Linked DNA regions of Neodiprion lecontei. The protein of the gene in region 1 interacts with the protein of each later gene in a pairwise test. Links are inferred from orthologs where the notes say so. Each region holds a gene or a part of one and is shown on either strand. Other genes may lie near its edges.

Evidence for each region.
Region 2: the proteins of casein kinase I (region 1) and spermatogenesis-associated protein 20 interact in a two-hybrid assay, tested with the Caenorhabditis elegans proteins (2 studies listed by BioGRID). The link is inferred for Neodiprion lecontei from reciprocal best matches to the Caenorhabditis elegans genes kin-20 and B0495.5.
Region 3: the proteins of casein kinase I (region 1) and proliferating cell nuclear antigen interact in a two-hybrid assay, tested with the Caenorhabditis elegans proteins (3 studies listed by BioGRID). The link is inferred for Neodiprion lecontei from reciprocal best matches to the Caenorhabditis elegans genes kin-20 and pcn-1.

The regions. Positions count from the first base shown.
Region 1 is NC_060261.1:42,945,040-42,949,920, forward strand, and holds the start of casein kinase I, read right to left. Parts: upstream 3,022-4,881; 5' UTR 2,626-3,021; coding exon 2,550-2,625; intron 2,308-2,549; coding exon 2,197-2,307; intron 1,557-2,196; coding exon 1,408-1,556; intron 204-1,407; coding exon 7-203; intron 1-6. UniProt on the Caenorhabditis elegans protein: Essential serine/threonine-protein kinase that regulates diverse cellular growth and survival processes including Wnt signaling, DNA repair and circadian rhythms. Casein kinases are operationally defined by their preferential utilization of acidic proteins.
Region 2 is NC_060263.1:2,183,739-2,191,467, reverse strand, and holds spermatogenesis-associated protein 20, read right to left. Parts: upstream 5,762-7,729; 5' UTR 5,478-5,761; coding exon 5,344-5,477; intron 5,246-5,343; coding exon 4,873-5,245; intron 4,775-4,872; coding exon 4,631-4,774; intron 4,536-4,630; coding exon 4,446-4,535; intron 4,379-4,445; coding exon 4,136-4,378; intron 4,043-4,135; coding exon 3,863-4,042; intron 3,782-3,862; coding exon 3,572-3,781; intron 3,485-3,571; coding exon 3,292-3,484; intron 3,227-3,291; coding exon 3,058-3,226; intron 2,982-3,057; coding exon 2,773-2,981; intron 2,709-2,772; coding exon 2,509-2,708; intron 2,409-2,508; coding exon 2,148-2,408; 3' UTR 2,141-2,147; exon of another isoform or gene 1,387-2,140; intron 1,307-1,386; 3' UTR 549-1,306; downstream 1-548. Other genes in the region: SUMO-conjugating enzyme UBC9-B, read left to right, coding at 6,414-6,479, 6,922-7,005, 7,081-7,343, 7,430-7,496.
Region 3 is NC_060260.1:30,416,471-30,424,043, forward strand, and holds proliferating cell nuclear antigen, read left to right. Parts: upstream 1-1,853; 5' UTR 1,854-3,997; coding exon 3,998-4,218; intron 4,219-4,646; coding exon 4,647-4,812; intron 4,813-5,230; coding exon 5,231-5,375; intron 5,376-6,275; coding exon 6,276-6,526; 3' UTR 6,527-7,067; downstream 7,068-7,573. UniProt on the Caenorhabditis elegans protein: This protein is an auxiliary protein of DNA polymerase delta and is involved in the control of eukaryotic DNA replication by increasing the polymerase's processibility during elongation of the leading strand.

The DNA.
Region 1 (4,881 bases):
ACTAACCTGGCAGTTCCTGTGAGGTTTTTATTTTCTCGATAAGGTATGTGCATGTGCGTCCGACCATCTCGATACTTTTTGGCCAGACCGAAATCTATGATATATACAAGATTTCCTTTCTTTCCCAAGCCCATGAGAAAATTGTCAGGTTTGATATCCCGGTGGATGAAATTTCGACTATGAATGTAATCCGTTCTGCTTATCTATATTCAAAAAGAAAACAGTGTGGATCACTGAAAGGATACAACCATTGGATTGCGCAATTAAAATATACTATATATTGCCCTAAAAAGGTAAGAAAATCTTTGGTCTCTGCAACACATTCCGGAGATCATCAAAGGATCGAATCATCATATAAGATAAAAAGGTCAAGTGAATAATTAATTGTCTGCAAGGGATTTACAATGACAACTGAGACTCACAGTAAGAAAAGATAATTATATTTGTACATATTTATACTAACTCAAAACGCTTGTTGAGTAATAATATTAAATGTATATGCAGACATGGTCTATAACACATGCTTTTAGGGTCGCTGCCTTAGTTAATTATTTGAAGTACTGTTCGGTATCATAAAACTCAGTGAACCATGATTTCCTGCTTAGTATTCTGACCCAGCCTTAAAAATCATCTTATGTAAATCATATTGCATGCAAAATGCTTTCAATCATTTACCATTGCACTTGATCAATGAAGATATTAGATCAAACTTTATTTCTGACACAATGGACCTTTCGCAAATTTGATATTCTGAAATATTCCCCTAGGCTCATCATGGAATAAGTGAAAATGTAGTTTCAGAGTTTATGTTTAAAGTTCAACAGCCTTTGCATTAAAAAAGATATGAATGCATGATTTATAAACACAGTTAATTTCTACACATCATTTACACTTGGACTTTGAACAGTCGTTGCAAAGCCCGCTGAATTGCCGATGAAAAAGCAATGGATATCCAGAGATAGTAACATTGTACAAGCGACACAGTTGGCTGTTTGATGAAAGACTCAACGAACTCCTCAGCCAACTTAGGACTCATTGTACAACATGCTTGAAAAAGTCAAACTTTTGATACAGGATGACAAAAGCATAGAGTTTACAATTATTTGTAACATTAGCCAGTCTCACAATGACCCAGTTAGAGCGCCAGGTAAGTAGAGCGTATCACTAAGTGAAGTCTAATGTCAGTGAAAGCATGTTTCAATTCAGGTGTTCCGAGATAGCGAGTTGCATGGTAGACATGATATCGTATTAAAGGCGAACATTGAGAAAATTGGTTTAGAATAGTAACGAAAATTGCTTCTGAATTTGTTTTTGCTATTTCAACAGGACGAGGAACGTTTCTCGTTCGATAGACTAAGCTAAATTTTCAATGTCGTTAGAAAAGGATAATTATTTTTTTAGACTCACCAATTGATCAGCGAGTAGTAGAACAGTTTTTAACGAAAATTTTCGAGAGCAAAAATTGAAAAGATCTTCAAGTGATGGGCCGAGTAGTTCCATCACCATAACATTATAGTCACCTTCCGAACCGCACCATTTTATTGTGGGGATTCCAACTGAAAGTAAAAAATACTTGTACATCGCGCAGTACTGAAAAAATTTTGACAATACGAAATGACAGAAGAAACCAGTGTGGAAATAAAAATGCAACACGGTTGAAAAGTCAGATCAAGTTAAAACTCTAGTTTAATAAAACAATAACTGTAAAAATAATCAGAGTAAAAAACAATTCATAAACCTTAGGTAACCAATTTCCAGTGAAAGTTATGAGGTAATTAGGTAAGGTATTTCACATTCGAGTTTGGTGTTAGTTAAGCTAAATATAAATTCTAGAATTGTGGATGGTAATTTGTTTCATTTTTCTTCTCGCTACCCTCTTTCGTTGAAGATTGATGATGAAAGCGATACAATGACGATTTGAAATGAATTCTAAACCAAATCGAATAGAAGATACAAATAATTGTTTTGAATGAAAAATGGATTCCTTTGGTTAGATTCTATAAATAAAATGTGCATGAAAATGCAGGAAATATATTTGTGGCATTGTATCGAGGAGAAGGGGCAGCGCCTGGAGGACCAGCTGTGGTGAAGCAAACAAACAAAGCACTTTGACAGTCTAAGGATTTTTTTGCTCAAGAAAAAATGCTTGTTAACCTGTCGAAGAATGAACAATTGGGTTGATAAATCCATACTCACCACCACCTTGCATCATTTTGTAAAATTTCGACTCTATATGGAGCTGGGGATGCCTTGTTTTTATGCATTCTAGCTTTATGGCGACTTCCTCACCCGTGGAAATGTTCGTCCCTGTTAAAAGAAGGACGATTTGGTGAAAATCAAAGCGAATAAACGTATGCCACTTTGGCGAATAATTAAACTCTGTGTAAAAATGAGCGGTAAAAGATGCAAAGTTCAACTCTCAAGTTGAAGATACCCTAAGCTTAACATTGATGCCCAGTTTGGCTGGGAATGAATATATTTTGTTTGTGCATAGAATATCGGTACGACGATCCGTGGTACAATTGTGAAATTGTTTTGTTCATAGTTACCTAGATAAATATCACCGAAGGAACCGCTCCCGATTTTCCGCCCGAGCCTATACTTGTTCCCTACGCGTAGCTCCATTTTTGTTTTGACCGAGGTAACGACTACTCAAAACTCACGAAACACAACGCGGTTTAAAGGAATTTTCGTTACATTGTCGGAGCCTCCATGTTTGATATTTGTGGACGGGGCATCTTTTCGCTGTTAGCCTGCCTGGACGGGGGACTACTTCTTCGACACAAAGAGGAATTCTCGCCCCGCCTTGCGGGCATCAGTCGTCACTATTGCACATCAATTGAGCACGCAAATAAAGTATCGGGATCTCAGGAATACGATACGCGCGTCAGAAAATCGTAATTCTTGACGTGAAGCGCGGATTAAATGGATTTTTCATGGCCTGTCTCAACGCATCCGCTAACGGTGACACACGGACCTGCCACAGACACGACTCAACCGTCAACACCAAGATACGCAACAGCTACATGGATCGGGCTCTCGCTCTCTTCCACTTCCCTCGCCTAGTACGGTGAATTGCCGCATAGGTTCGCATCTAGTATGCGTGATGCGGTGCAGCTGCATATGCCGCAAAATGCAAATCAAAATATGCGCACTTCGTTACATTAATTTCCCCATACATTTTCACTATCTTACTTTCTTTTTTTGTTAACTTTACCAGAACGCTGACAAAATTTCCACTCACCCTAACACATAGTTGTCGTACAACATTAATGTAAATTAGCGAGCAAAACATAACCATCCAATGCGATTCAATTTTGCATCACCACAATTACTTCGATTGAAATCCTTAAATTCGCTACTCATAAAGGTTTTTTTTTTAAATTCGCCCCAACTCTCTCTTTTAGGATCCATGAAGATGTATATTAAATTGATATACACTGGAATTTTTTTGAAAAGGCATTTATTGTTATAGAAATATAAGTGATGTTGTAGACAGTAAGAGATACCTAAGCTGTAGAAAAATTCAATGAAAAATTTGTTAATTTTCACTGCAGTGAACTAATTTGGGAGTAGTTATAATGGAAAATTGTACAGTTATTGTTTTTTGATCCTCATACTGAAACGTGAATGAGAACTTAGCCTTTAGGCAGTGTCATGTTAATTTCTTTGCTCACGCAAGCTTTGAATCAGCCTGAGTAGAACTGACTGAATTTTGTGACATCGAATGATGAATTGTAGTCAAAAATGCGATTTGAAAGTTAATTTCCGAAACTCGGGTTTAGTTAGAAAATTTAAATGTATATTCCTAACTACGATTAACAATCACTGGCTTACATAATTAAGCGAAACTGCTATATGCTATATATTTTAAATTGCGAATAAACTGTCAAGTAACACTTTTTGAATAGTTATGAAATTCCTATTAAAATTAGTAATACAGAATTATTCCTTCTCTTTTACCACTAATTGCAGTATGTACGATAACAGTAATTATGAATCAGTTGCTTAATTATTAAGTATACAGTTAAAGATAATTAGATACATAATTAAAATCTATCTACAAAGGCCCCACGTAAATTCTTCGTATTATCAAAAAATGGTACTTATAAACAGAATTACTTTCCATCAAACTTAAAAACAGAGGGGTAGAAAGTTTGTCAATCAGACGCACAAATAATTGGCAACATACTTATCTGTATTCTTATAAAGCAGGGGGGATATTCATTTTTTTTTTTATATAAATAATTACTTTTAATTTTGCCTCTTGTAGAATGAGCGCTATACTTTTATCTCAAATGTACGATCTTGGTCTACTAGAGAATTATGTTATTCAAAGTATAAGCGATACCGGACACGGCCTATTGAAATCGATAATTGATGAAATTTCATTTGCCCAGAATATCTTGTGTGCCGTAAAAATTGAGAATAACAGTTGAATGAATAAAAAACGGAGAATTAGTTTTAGGTATGATTCAGTGAGCATCCATTAGATATAACATTCGAAATAAAAAGTTAAAAGTTAATATGCTGTGTCCTCCACCAAATATAGAATATAATTATACCAAAACATTAGTATAACGATAAATTGGATTCTTATTAAAAATTATAATAACAACAATTTCTTGCTCACTTAACTGGATAACAATAAAGTCAAAACTCTAGTTTTCTACATAGTATGAACACAAATTCAGAAGATGGTTAATTTCAACATTGACAAACTGAAAGTAGTATTGGCATGTAAACATATAATCTTTACTATATATAATGTGTCTATATACCTAGGGCTACAAAAAAAAGAAAAAGTATTCATATGCCAATCAAAAAAATTTACTTTCATGAACTAGGGTGAAAACTTAAAGATTAAACAACATCGATAAA
Region 2 (7,729 bases), on another chromosome or scaffold:
CGATTTTCTAAGTATTTTCACGGAAATTGCAACATTTCGTACGATTGTGTACAAAAAATTGTAAATATACTGTAAATTTATCATAAAAACTTGTAGATTTTCACGAAAATTTGTATTTTTTCGTTAAAAAATCTACATAATTAACAATTCTTTGAGAAAAACTACACATATTTATAATTTTTTTACTAAATAATACGAAATCGCCCAATTTCTGTAAAAATTCGTAGTAGCGGTAGAAATTTTCACCAGGGCGAGCTTTTATAATGCATTTTGCTGATTACACGAAGCAGGAGAGTAAGCGATCGATTTTTACTATAGGTTTACCAAAAAACATATACACGGTTGATTATAGATGAACTAAAGAGGGTTGCGGGGGAGGGGGAAGGGGAGAAGGGGAAACTATGGAATGTTTTTTGCCTGCTGTGATATCACAGGGGTGGTTTCTTCCTCAACTTTGTTGTTCAAGCGTATTAATAGAACGCTAAAATACCTGGATATACATAAAAACGTGTTTCACGGTCGAAAAGCCAAGCTTTTTACAATAAGTCCCAGTTTACACACCGTATTGTTGATGTGAAAATAATTTATTCCGCAATAAAACGTGTCTAAGAACAGTTTCTGCATTACGTCACGCTAGAAATTAAGTCGCGGTGGTATTTCTTTTATAGAGTTAATCCGATCGTTTGGATTGAGAATTTTTATCACGCGCTTTGATAATAATATTTCACATTAAGCTCAAGTTACGTTAAATCTCAGGGTCTTGGCTTTTGGAGAAAAATTTCTTTCCTACACTCTGATCTGAAACGACTTCTCGGAGCGACGGACGTTGCATTCCGCGACTCGAAGAATGCTATTCATATCCTGTACCGGAATCGTCGTCCGTCACGTAAAATTCCAACTTTTCATCGTTCCCACGTAAATTCGGAAAATTCTCCAAAGCATTTTCTTCCGTTAGACGTAATGTTATTGCGAGGATCGGCAGCGGCATCGGCCAGCAGCAATCCATAAGATGATACGAAGCCCAAAATATTTTCCTAGAGGCAGTCATATAAACAAAATTGTAGCGCATCGCAACGGCGCCCGTTGAAGCACCCTAATTTTAGAACCGTATAAACCACCACGTCTTGACCATGTTCTAATCGGAAACGTTATACGCATATGTATACACGAAGTTCAAGTCTTTAAACGCTCGAACCTTAGCTGCTTTAAATTTTCGCACGTGCAAAACTACCGAGCATGCAATGTAATCCTCAAATTCCCTCAACTAACAAATAATTTCCTAATCAATTACCAATTCCCTGCGGATCTGGAAATAGAAAATAAGGAATCAAAACGTAGCGAACATTTGCCAAGCATTGTAATACACGTAAATATTTGAACTGTATAAACCTTATAATATCAAATTCTTTATTTCGACGCAGGTATACATGATATACGCAGAAATAAGTTATTCTTGCGTCTGAATTATATACATACATTTCTGGTCTTCTAAATGTAACGCTTATTTATAGTAAACTTTGATTAGCATCGGCGGATTAATGTGGCTGCAGACTCGACGATAGAAAAAAAAAAAAAAAAAAGTTCGAAATAAAACACATTAGACGTGCAGGGATCCATTAAACGTTCAAGTTCGGAATAACAATTTGTTCGATCAGTGAATCTCGTGAAAAAGTTGCAAATTACAAAACTCACTCGAGCCTTTATATTTTAACTAACAAATTTTCCAAAAAAAGAATTACGAAATATCACACAAGGATGCAACAAATAATTAAAAAAATTTCTAAAACCTGATTGCAGTTGGTTACTTGATTACCAATATTTGATATCGCATTAGTATTGAACTGTAAATCAGCTAAGAATTTAACAAGATATTAAAATGTGATTATCAATTGAACCGTCAGCTATTGAACAGTCTCAATGTTATTATTTAAATCTGTTAATCCCTGTGGTTAGGCTTAGACGTAAATTACGTAATTGAGTTTCGTGATGAAGTATTTTTAGTTCTGAAAGCGAAAGTAAGAAAAAAACTAAATACTTTTCAAAATACTTTTACGTACCATATGAATACATAAATGTATATTCACAACAGTAACAACATTTTTCATTTATACATATGCATAAATTTTAGGTAATAACTTACTGTTGATCTATGGTTTTGCGTCAAGAAGCCTGGCAAGCTGATCCGGTTCTGTAACTGGTAGCGAACAAACGTGACGATGACATACGTAGACCGTTGCTCTATTGTTGAGAGACTTCATGTTGAGGATAACTTTGCTTTTGCAAAATAAAATATTCTCCGGATCTTGGTGATCAACTAAGAGTAGTACCCGTCCGGGAACAAATTTCTCACGAATAACATTTAGTAGCAGTGTCGTATCTGCAGCGTCCTTTTTACCAACCACGTAGATCTTGAAGAAGCAGAGAGTCGGGTATGAAACTTGTCATTTGCGTTCGTTCAGTTACCAAGGGCTTTGCCAACATCTTATGATTCGAACGTTATGTACTCACCTGCGTCATTGAATCGTGGTAATGTAGCAGGGCAGACACGAGTTCCGGTAGAGCAGCGGGAACACGCGTAAGAGATTCTCTGGATGCAATTAGTATTTTGGAAGATTTATCGTTGAACTCCGCATGATCGAGGTAGGCGTTCAATCGTAACAAATTTTTGCACGCTATAGAATTACTTGACGGTTCGGCTCCGTCGTGATCTGTAAGAATGTAATATTATACACTAGCATCTAGTCACCAATTACCATGTAATCTTGATCTAACCATCTTTAAGCCTTAGAATTGCTGTGCGATCTTCCTCGGTTGTAGCAAAATAACCGCCAGCTACAGGATCCCAGAACAAATTGTCCTGTATATCCTGCAATTTTTCAGCAAATTCAAGCCAGTGCGTGTCCAGCGTTGCTTCGTATAAATCGAGCAACCCTTGGACCATGAAAGAGTAATCACCGTGAAATCCATTTATCGGTACACTCCTAAATATTTATATTTCATCAGGTAATAGTCAGTGTTTTCTCTATCGCTAAAACAACTTTTGACAGACTGACTCACGTTTGAGTAATTGTACCTCCTCCCCCATTGTAACAGCTACGTAATAACAAGCCTTTCTCCGCGTCAAATAAGTAACGTTCAACGAAGGCAGCCGCCTTCACAGCAAACTCTATGTAATTCTTGTTGTTGAATGCAAAACCAGCTCTTGACAATCCGCTGATTATTAATCCTGTGTGTATATTTTTTTAAATATTTTTTTATAACGTAGGTATTTGGATACTCTTCAATATTTACCATTCCATGATGTAACTATCTTGTCGTCCAGATGAGGCCTGGGCCTCTTCAATCTAACTTGGTACAGTATTTCACGAGCCTTTTGCAAATATTTATTCACATCTTCGAAGCTTAAATCAAAATGCTCGGCAGTCTCGGCCAAACTGCCGTAGACTATCAGTACATTCTGTCCCTTCAGCTCTCCGTGAGGATCCTAGAAAAATGATTCACTCTTCGAGTCCTTGTACAATAATAGGAAGCTGATGTGATGGTAGCAAGTTCAAAAATTGATTTTACGAACTTGCAAATGACCAACATTCCCCTCAGGCTTAACATTGTAGTGAAAAGCAAATAGATCCGATAATTCCAAGTCTTTTTTTCCGGGAATGGGTTTGCCAAGGAGACTTTTTATATCTCCGTAAGTCCACACGTAAAATGCACCTTCTTTTTTTTCCCGAGAATCGTGAGAAGGTAACGAATCTGCATCCTCTGCATTATAGAATCCACCTGCCTGGAAGAAATGTATCATATGGTTGAAAAAAGGAAAGAAAATAGTACCGCTCTATTTTTATTCTGTTCAGTAGCTACTGACCTGGTGACGCAGATCTCGGGTAACATATGTGACAATGTCGTCGACAATATCAGCAAATATAGTATCTTTTGTTATAACAAAAGCATCTGCATAGGACCGTAGAAGCTGAGCTTGATCATATAACATTTTCTCAAAATGTGGTACATGCCATTTACCATCTACAGAGTATCGTGAGAACCCCTAAAGATTATTATTCTCAATATTAAAAAAAAAAATGCTATTTTATTAATACACAATAAATTGTAAGATAGGAATAGCTTCGGGTGGCTGTACCTGACCAATGTGATCATGAATCCCTCCATTAGCCATTTTGGTAAGAGTAGTTAAACACATATTCAAGCATTCCTTGCCAGATTCGCTTGACGGATCCCTGGAGTAGGCGTGAAATAGAAAGTTCAAATTAACTGGCTGGGGAAATTTTGGGGCGTCTGTAAATCCGCCAAATTCGTTATCATAGCTGCCTGCCAATTGCTGCACGCAATTTAATCCACAATCAACTGATGGCTCAGCTGCTTCCTGTTTATAGAAAATAAACTTGACTCAGCAAAAATTTCCAAGCTGCTCTACCGTAGAGCAAACATACTTTATGTAGACTTTCCACACCAACGGATCGCTTCAATACTTCAAGGATTCTGTTGCCAGAATTTAATACATCACTCCTGCTCTCAATCCACTGTAAACAACAAATATCAACACTTGAGATATAATAGGAATAAATTGGTGAAAAAATGGAATACTTGGCAGATAAATATCACGTTGAATATGTACTTTGTGTGCAACGGTGGTCAATACAGTTTTAAAACCAGGTTGACCATACTTGTCGACAGGGGGAAAATAGGTTCCTCCTGTAACAGGGGTCAATTCGGGGGTCAAAAATACGCTCATTGGCCATCCACCATGTCCAGAAATAGCCTGAAACAATTTAATGCAGGAAATGAGTTATTTCTCTTAGATATTTTCGTTAACATAACTTATAGAATGACATCTTAAATGAACATGTGTATATTTACTTGAATAAAAGTCATATATATTTTGTCAATGTCAGGTCTCTCCTCGCGATCAACTTTCACATTGACGAAAAACTGATTCATAACACGCGCGATTTCAGGATTTTCAAAGGATTCCCGCTCCATGACATGGCACCAATGACAGGTGGAATATCCAACTGACAGAAATATAAGCTTGTCTTCACGCCGAGCCTTTTCAATTGCCTCGTCACCCCAAGGAAACCAATGAACAGGATTTGTTGCATGTTGCAAAAGGTAAGGAGACTTCTCAAATGCCAATTTATTTTGGGTTTTACTTTCAGAAGGTTCACCTTTCACCGTCGTCGAGGTCATTCTTACACTGTAAGGAATGAATAACCGTTCACTATGAATATATCTGTAAATGAATGAAAAACAAATATCATTATCAGACTATTTAAAACCAATTGTTGGCTTTATCATGTTTACGAATTTTCTCTCCATGGATATACGAACCTTTTGCTATGATAGTTGTTGACTACCTGAAGCAGTTTAATGTCCTTGGCGGAGAATTTTTTGAATTGATGTTCAGAAGAAAAGCGACGAATTGATGTCCATATTGAACATCTTCGCGGAATCATAACATACATATGTGTTAAAATATAATATTATAAATAATAATTATTGAGTAATTTTCACTTGAATAATTATATAACGAGTTTCAAATTAACCTTATCGCAAAGTGAGAAAAAGATAATAACGTTCATAGGTATACGTGTTGCGTGTATGCGCAATTTTATTTACACATGATTATATACGGCACGTATACCTATACCAAAGCCTATACCAATTCGTTCGCATGTTAGTGCGTATAAATATTTATCACATACACTATTTTGCATTTGGTCTGACAGTTTTGATGATAGTTTTTGACGTTTGACCTACCTTTTCCCCGTGGCTATGTAACCAGCTGAGAACCGCAACGTGGTGTTAAATACTCCTCATACAAAGTAGCTTACATCCGGTCGAAGGATCGACGTTATCACTCAGGATTCCTAGGGATAATTTGATAATGGTGCAATTTTTTGTTTCCCAACTTTTCGAAAAGAAAGGCTTGGGCAAAGCTGTCGATCAGCTGGTTCTTCAATACGGATTAATCAGATAAGCTCAAGCCTTTCAGCTCCTTCATTTTGAAAATGTGGGAAATAAATGCATATCCGTTTTTAATTGGCTGCACTGGGTGCGCATGCAATTTCCCTAATTTTCAACTAATGGCAAAGGCGTAAATCTAGGGAAAACGCACTCAGTGCAGCCAATTGAAAACGCTTTGAGCACAGTAGAAAAGTGCACACTGCACATTAAAAATCGGAACACACTGCGTTCTCCATGGTTCATCGTATTTGTCATTGCCGCTAAAAAGCGTAAAGAGTCGTTGCGAAATTCGGATTTCGGGCTTAGGAAGTGCCAAGGCATTCGAACCTACGGTGTGTGTACCAAAGTGCTAACATTACAACCAAATAACCACGTGCCGCGGCGATTAAGCTCACGGAGAGCCTTGCTAAGCTTGGACTAATTTTGCAGATTTAATGTCAGGCATCGCGATCGCTAGACTCGCTGAGGAGAGAAAAGCATGGAGGAAAGACCATCCATTTGTAAGTATTATCTTGTCACTTCTATTACTGCATTGTACTTTTGGATGAAACCGGGTCATTTGGATGGTCCCAAGTTAACCATTTTACCTAGTCAACCATCCCTCCCATTATTACCTGGCCGTAAGGGCATAATAAACCCTCCGAATACATAAATCATGTCATGAAAGATTGTCGTCCACATACGCACGCACACACATGTAAAAAGTGCACAGGTCAATCTCATCGTTTTTACCTCAAGTGGTCTAAATTTTTTTTGTTTTTGAATGGGAAAATTTTTCTTCTGAAACCAGATAACCAAACCTAACCTATTTCTTATTCCTTTTGGGTATCTTCATTTATTGAATTACTTGTGCTGAGATCCGAGGCTGTATGTGACATGCTCAAAATTTGTTACAAACACCCAGAGGCGGCCAGATTTTGAATTTCATTTGTTTACTTACAGGGCTTTGTAGCTCGGCCTACAAAAAATCCAGATGGAACACTTAATTTGATGAGCTGGGAATGTGCTATACCTGGAAAGAAAACTGTAAGATATTGCAAGTCGTTGCTCCTAAAAATCTGCCTTGAATTTATTAAAATCTGATGGTAATTTTCTTTGTAGACTCCATGGGAAGGCGGGCTGTACAAGTTGCGAATGATATTCAAAGACGACTATCCTTCCAGTCCGCCAAAATGCAAATTCGAGCCCCCACTTTTTCATCCTAATGTTTACCCTTCTGGTACTGTATGCCTATCTCTCCTAGATGAAGAAAAGGACTGGCGACCAGCCATAACAATCAAGCAAATCTTGCTAGGAATCCAAGATTTACTTAATGAACCAAACGTTAAAGATCCCGCCCAAGCAGAAGCTTACACTATTTACTGGTGAGTACTCAACGAGGCATAGATTGAGTTTTTTTTTTTCCAAGTCTACAGCGACAACATCACTTATTGAAACTCAATTATTGCAGCCAGAATCGTTTGGAATATGAAAAACGAGTGAAGGCGCAGGCAAGAGCAATGGCACCGCAAGAATAAAAAACACGAACGTTCCACCTACCACAAAGCAAAACTTTATTTTCTAAGCCTGCAACAAATATAATATAACATAATGCAAACTATATACAAATAATTTTTCCCCCACTTACAATTTACATGACCATAAATGTTGCATACATATACATAGGTAAGTAAAAACAGAATCATCATTTTATTTTCTTCTATGTATAATTATCAATGAAATTGTTTATTATCAACGAGTGCTCGATATC
Region 3 (7,573 bases), on another chromosome or scaffold:
TCGTATTATTTTCTATTTCAGGGCAACAAAACTTTGCGCAGAAAGTAATGTCGATTCAAAAAGTTTAGAATGTTTTTGATACATCAATAGAATGAATATTAAAGCGAATATTATGTTGGACTCGACCCATTTTTGGTCAGTGGATGAACTTATGTGATTGTGCTAACCACACCTTCGTCTGTTTCAGCTAACGAAATCTTTGTTTGTTTCAGGTAATCAGACTTTCTGTCCTCTTCAGCTAATCAAACTTTTTGTCTGTTTCAGGTAATTGAATCTTTTGTCTGTTTCAGATAATCAAACCTTTTATCTGTTTCAAATAATCAAACCTTCTGTCTGTTTCAGATAATCATTCAGCTAATCAAATTTTCTGTCTCTTTCAGCCGATCAAGCTTTTTATCCGTTTTAGCCAATCAAATTTTTTGTTTGTTTCAGCTAACCAAACTTTTTGTCTATTTCAGCTAATCAAACGTTTTGTCTATTTCAGGTAATCAGACTTTGTCTCTTTCAGCCAATCGAACTTTTTGTCTAATTCACAAGTTAATTAAACCTTTTGCTTGTTTCAGCTAATCGAATCTTTTGTATGTTTCAGCTAATTAAACTTTCTGTCTCTTTCAGCTAATCAAACGTTTTATCTGTTTCAGCTAATCAAACCTCTTGCCTGTTTCAGCTAATCAAACCTTTTGTCTGTTTCAGATAATTATACTTTCTGTCTCTTTCGGCTAATTAAGCTTTTTGTCCGTTTCAGTTAATCAAACCTTTTGCTTGTTTCAGCTAATCGAACCTTTTGTATGTTTCAGCTAATTAAACTTTCTGTCTCTTTCAGCTAATCAAACGTTTTATCTGTTTCAGCTAAACAAACCTCTTGCCTGTTTCAGCTAATGAAACCTTTTGTCTGTTTCAGATAATCATACTTTCTGTCTCTTTCGGCTAATTAAGCTTTTTGTCCGTTTCAGTTAATCAAACCTTTTGTCTGTTTCAGCTAATCAAATATTTTGACTGTTTTAACTAATCAATTTGTCTCTTATTCGTTAATTATATTTTTCACTTATCTAAGCTAAGTATATTTCTGTTTATATCGAAATATGTCACTAATTTTATTTTCATCTGTTCCACGTAAGTGAGGTTAATTGACTGTTTAGGTCTGGTTCAAGGTCAGTCATCTTTTCACCGATACATAGATTTAGCGATGTATATAGTTTATTTTTTAATGGTTTTACAGTCTTTTATTGCGCTCGTTTTAGTGTCATAGTTTTTTTTCTCGAGTCGCCCATAGGTCATGTTCGGTTTGTATTTCACTGTATAATTATATAGCACTGTCGTATTTTGGTGGTTGTGTTTATCCTACTCCGATTTGTTTCCATTTCTTCAAAGATTTCTGCTTAGTCTTCCGATAGGTAAATGCCAGCGTCTTACGGCGATTCGTATTTTCGATCTTGGTTTAGTTGTGAATTGTTTTGCGTATTCACCAAGTTCTCCATTTTAGTGATTATCTTATACATCATAAGAAAAAAAACCGTGCCCGAACATCCAAATACAATCACCGTTCGCTTACAAGATAAAAACTATCACCCTTCATCTATAATTAAAACAGCCAACTTTCATCTACAATTAAAACAGTCATCTTCGATCGATAATAAATAGTCAGCTGGTCATATTAACTGAAAAATTTCGAACAAACTCCGAATATCCGCGAATACAAATTGATTGGGAAAAACAATTTACCGTAGTTAACATGTGAAAAAAAGATATTTGCAATTTTTCGAAGAATGTAAGATCGATCTTGCAAGTATTCTCCGTGGAGTAGGCCTACTGGGGATACCACGTAAAAAAAAAACGCGCCGGGTGCTCTACCGCTTGCGGTGGTGTGGAAACGAGCATAAGCGAACTTATTTTCATTTGTCAAATACTAACATATTGTAGTTTTTCAAATGACAATTTTATTCTTGTATAAATTTAGCTTATTGTCAATAAGATTCGTGCTTCGGTTATGTGTAACGCATGTGGAATTGTAATACCTTCGGATTTCGCTAGTTTAGTGAGAGTGAATTCCACGTAAATATATTTTTCTTTTTGATAAATTTCGTTTCTTAATTAAAGTCAACAAAGTGCACATACCTTTGGCAATTCCGACATCTTTCTCCCCGGCTTGACCTTTCGCAGTCGACACAGGTTGTTGACATAAAACACTATAATTGCATACCAAATGAGCACGTCTCCCATAACAAACGATAAAGAACAAAATATTGAAGCTCATTCAAAACCGGTCACTAAAAATGACAACAAGAACGATGTTCAAATTTTGTACGTTCGAGATACGGGTGATCCGTCTAGCACAGTAAGAAATTTACTCCCGTCTTCTCTTTTGAATCTATATTCTTGAAAATTATTTAAAAATTTTGATGACAAATTTGTATACCCGCTTGATTTTTATATAACTTAACTGAATCAACTGTTAAATACTTTGTTCAAAAAATCATTACACTTACATACATAAAAAGAAAGGCAACTAATATGATAACCTGCATTTTAAAATATTACCAATTGATTTTAGAACCAATCAAAAGTCACAAAAGAAATGCTTTGTCAAATTATAGATATAAATTTATGACCTTCGACAAGAATGAAGTGATCCGTTAAGAACGCAAATCACAGATCAGTTGAATTAAAAAATATGACTATTTGAGTGGGAAAAATTTTCAACGGGTGATTATTGTTACTTACAACATAATTGTGAATAAAATAGTGTGTACAAAAGGTCGTACTAAGTAAGATAATACGTAATACGCGTATGCTATAAATATTCATCTTATAAATTGCAAATACGCCGTGAAAGTTGCGAAGGCCGGACTTCCATCCAGAAGATGCATTCGTAAAACGCAAAAAAAAAAAAAAATGATGCGTCAATAACTAAACGTTTTACGCATACGTTGGCTGCCTCGTCACCAATTCCAACGACCAGTACACGCATTGTTGAATAGCGATCTTCGCAGGAAGAGTATCGCTTGGAATTTAATGGACCTATGTATATTTCTCCAAAACGGACAATCAGCCCACCACCGGAAACCAATGCTGTTCCAATAACTCATCAACGATGCATATTTCTTGGATAATTATGAAGCAATTACATGAATTACTGACAAGTTCCTTGTAATTTTAACATGTATAATGTAAATCATTAACGGTCTAACAATGTCTCTTATACAATTTGTAAAATTCTTCTACCTAAGTCTGCAAAATTTATAAATTCTGTTTGCGGAAATCTGTAGAAATTCTTCGGTAGAACAGAATCTTGTCTCAGAAAAGACTAGTGGATTGTTGGAAGCAGAATACTTAAAACTTTCGGAAGGTCTTACAACCTTTAATCTGTATTTTTTTAACAAAGATATCGTAGATAATTGATGAGAATTTGATTATAAAGAATCCAGAAAATCCATCTTTAGGTAATATCAGTATTTAGCTTCTGATATCCGATATATAGTATCATTACACAATTGTATCCTCTGGGTAATATTATTATTAGGGGTTACCGAAAAAGTGCTGAAATTCCGAATAAAACAGTATTGACTTTGTCGGGAACACATATTCTCAAACTCGAAGTTCCTAACAATCAACACGGACACTGCCATAAATGTATAATAAAGTGGACAGGTATGAGTAATTATAATCTTAGCCACTCGATAATAAATTTCTGAACAATCTTGTGTTGGGGGGGTCAGCGTACAGAGCCGCAAACGCTTTCAGCTTTTGGATTTGTTCAACTGAATTCGTATAATGGCGCGCTTGTAGATAAAGAAGACTGGTAAGGGCCTCTACATCCTCTCGAGAGATTTCGGCGCCAACAAAACGCGGGTAAAATCTTGCTCCCCAGTCCCGGTGTTTAATGTCTGTCTTGCCGGCTTGTTGTGGGTTGTAACTTTACTGTAGACTGTGTTGCGGGTCTTTTCACCAAGTACATTCGTTTTTAATAGTTTCAAAGTTGATCGAAGAGGAGCTAAAAATGTTCGAGGCACGTTTGGTTCAGAGTGCGATATTGAAGAAGGTTTTGGAGGCGATAAAGGACCTCCTAACCGAAGCCACCTTCGACTGTTCCGATTCGGGAATTCAGTTGCAGGCTATGGACAATGCTCACGTTTCTTTGGTGTCTTTGAATCTGCGAAGCGATGGCTTCGACAAATATAGATGCGACAGAAATTTATCGATGGGCATGAATCTGGGCAAGTAAGTTGCTTCATCAAACTGGTCGCCCGTTCTTTTGAGAGGTTATACACACAGTGCCGATACTAAAATTTTAAACGCGGCTGCTTTGTTCTCAGCCTTGAAAAGAGTAATCTGCAATTCTTAGCAATTACATCGTATATTAACAAGAAAAATGACAACACTGGCAATATAATATCGTTTGTGCGTCACTTGCTTGTATTTTTTGGGTAACAGTAATGATGATAACTCATGAGTGAATGCAAATTTCGTTCACACCTTATTTGCCCTTTGTCTTGAATCGTCATCTTATTAATACTTGATAGCTGATCAACGTGAATATCAGTTTTGTTACTAAACATTATGAATCACTGTTTTACAACATGTCGTCCCTGTTACATATCGAGTCGTACTAATTCAATGATTTGAACCCAAAATATTATAATTTTCAGCATGACAAAAATTATGAAATGTGCTGGAGCAGAAGATACTGTTACGATGAAAGCTCAGGATAATGCTGATGTGGTTGCATTTATGTTTGAATCCAAAAATCAGGAAAAAGTTTCAGATTATGAAATGAAACTTATGAATCTAGATCAGGAACATCTTGGTATTCCAGTAAGTTCCTGTTCTTGAAGTAGTAATAACTGATTAGGAATACGAATTCTGCAATATTTTTGTTGGAAAGATTCATTCATGTTTTATCAATTCAGCGAAAGAAGACCCAAACTTCTCAATGCAAAACTATTTGGTCCATTTTTGACATATTTGATTCAAGCAACGAAACAAATGTTTGTGTCCAAACCGTTTTGAGTTTTTTGAAATTCATGTGTAACATAAACAGTTGAATTCTGAAACTGTAAAATGCTCGGTACATTAATAAATACAATGTGAGCTATCTCAATTATAAGAAAACCTATTTTGCACAGAATTAGGGAAAGACTATAATCCTTGATCCTTGAGTATTGTTATTAGTGATAATGTGTAGGTGAAGATAGGTGCAGAGTGTATCAACAATCATATTTTTTTTCTTCAGGAAACTGACTATTCTTGTATCGTTAAAATGCCTTCCCAAGAATTTGCACGTATATGCAGAGATCTGAGCCAGTTTGGTGAATCCATGGCTATTTCTTGTACCAAGGAAGGTGTGAAGTTTAGTTCAGCTGGTGATATTGGTTCAGGTATACAAATGAACTATCATTACACTGTAAATTTAGATAAATACATTCATGATAATAATACCTCAATTAAATGATAAAAAAAATTTGTGCAACATCTAAGAACTTAAATTTTGTCGATCATATTTGACAAAGCACAAGATTTACCATGCTTTATTTTTCAACTATCTATTGACCTTTGTTGCTTCCTTTCACTACCAGGGAGATTAATCGCCGACATATTTAACACTTTGCCATCCGGCGACAGCACAGTGGTGACGTGCGCAAACTGGTGGCCAACGACCGGCGACACCACAGTGGTGTTGTGAGCACAGTACCGCTCTGGGTCGGTGACGACACTTTAGTGTATTTAGCTTTCTGCTGGTATTTTGTTTCGGTAACAATAAGTTACACAAGTGATCAAACTTTTTATTTGTATAAGTTCTTGTGCCCTTTCATAATGGCAGACGAAAGAGACGATGCAAATATTTACGACGAATGCGCGGACGATTTGTCTGACGTTCCGGATGACTTGGCCGATTGGGAAGACATTGAAAATGAGAACTAACGACGAAATTAGTAAAACTTAACAATTTATAATCTCCCGATAATGTCAAGAACGGCCGGTGACAAGTCAAGTGATCCGAATAAGCGCTGCCGGCGCCAGGCGAATAAATATTTACGAATCGTGCGGACGGCAAAGTGTTAATATAGTGACATCTCTACAATTTTGAAATCGTCAGTTTATTATCAGTTGAATTCAGCCAAACGATTTTGCTCTTATGTTGTATTGTTAATGAATCAAAATCTCAATGTCAATGCACATAAGTCAGGTTATCACAAGCATGTAGCTATGATAGTATGAATGTAATAGTCGAGGCAGTGGTTTCTCTACTTCTAGTGGTATTTGTTTTATTATTTCAGCCAACATCAAATTAGCTCAAACTGCAAATGTGGACGCTGAAGAGGAAGCTGTGGTCATAGAAATGCAGGAGCCAGTATCATTAACGTTTGCTTGCCGGTATTTGAACAGTTTTACAAAAGCAACACCCCTTTCTGCTCAAGTTCAACTTTCAATGTCTGCCGATGTCCCGCTGGTTGTTGAATACAAAATTGGGGAACTTGGACACATCAGATATTATTTGGCACCTAAAATCGAAGACGAAGACAACTAAGGACAGGATCTGGTATTCGTGTTGTTATACCGCTCATTTTTGTTACTGTACAAAACTGGAACACTGCAAAACATGGTGTGTTCTGAGATGAACCCTATCATTGTGCCTTGATGTTGGAGAAATGATCCATGTGAGCAGTCGAAGAATTAGTCACTGGATATTTTAATAAATTCCTTATTTTTCATCGTCATAGAGCGATTTCCAACTTTTATACATTCTGTAACTAATATCTATAACCAATACTAGATGACAATATGAAGTACTTCTCAACGAAATGAGTTAATCAAGCTGACTGATATTTCGAAGGTAATTTATTAGCAAAATGTACAGTTAAAATTATTTGGCTGGCCACAATGTTAATGTGATGAGGAGTTGGCTCTAAAATCTGCAATAGAATAGCGTGATCACATGGATTAATTTAACGTTGAGTTACTTTGCAATGTACATTGAACAGCTTCTGTCATAAGCCGTGCTTGTTTCGAAAGTATTGCGTTTGTAGCATAAGAGGAGAACCAAATATATTTCCGAAATTTTTGATACATTTTGTGACTCTTAATTCCATAACCTAGCCTAATTGAAGTTTAAAATTTAATTAATATATTTCTTAATTCGTAAATCTATCCAAGCTACGGTAATATAAAAATACATAATTAGCTTACGAATTGCCTAGAAGTATATAATTAAATCTTAAGTCATTTGGATCTTGAATTAGTATTTAGTAGTTAAATATCGATCATTAGAAGGTAAATAATGGCTAGAAATATTATACACTCAATTACTCAGGTCAAGATGTTTATAAGATAATAGTTCACTCATTATTTCTCGTACATTCATTAATTATTATTACTATTATTATTATTATTTTTATTATTACCCTTTACTTCAGTAAATTCTTTTACAATAATTTTTGCAAAAATCGAAATAGCAACAAAATGTAATACTTTGGCAATATTTGTCAGCCTCTTTGGTTAAAAAGCCCTGGTATTGCTTTGTCGTCTACTATTTTGCAACTACATGTTAATATTTTTTTTTTTTTCCGATTTTAGT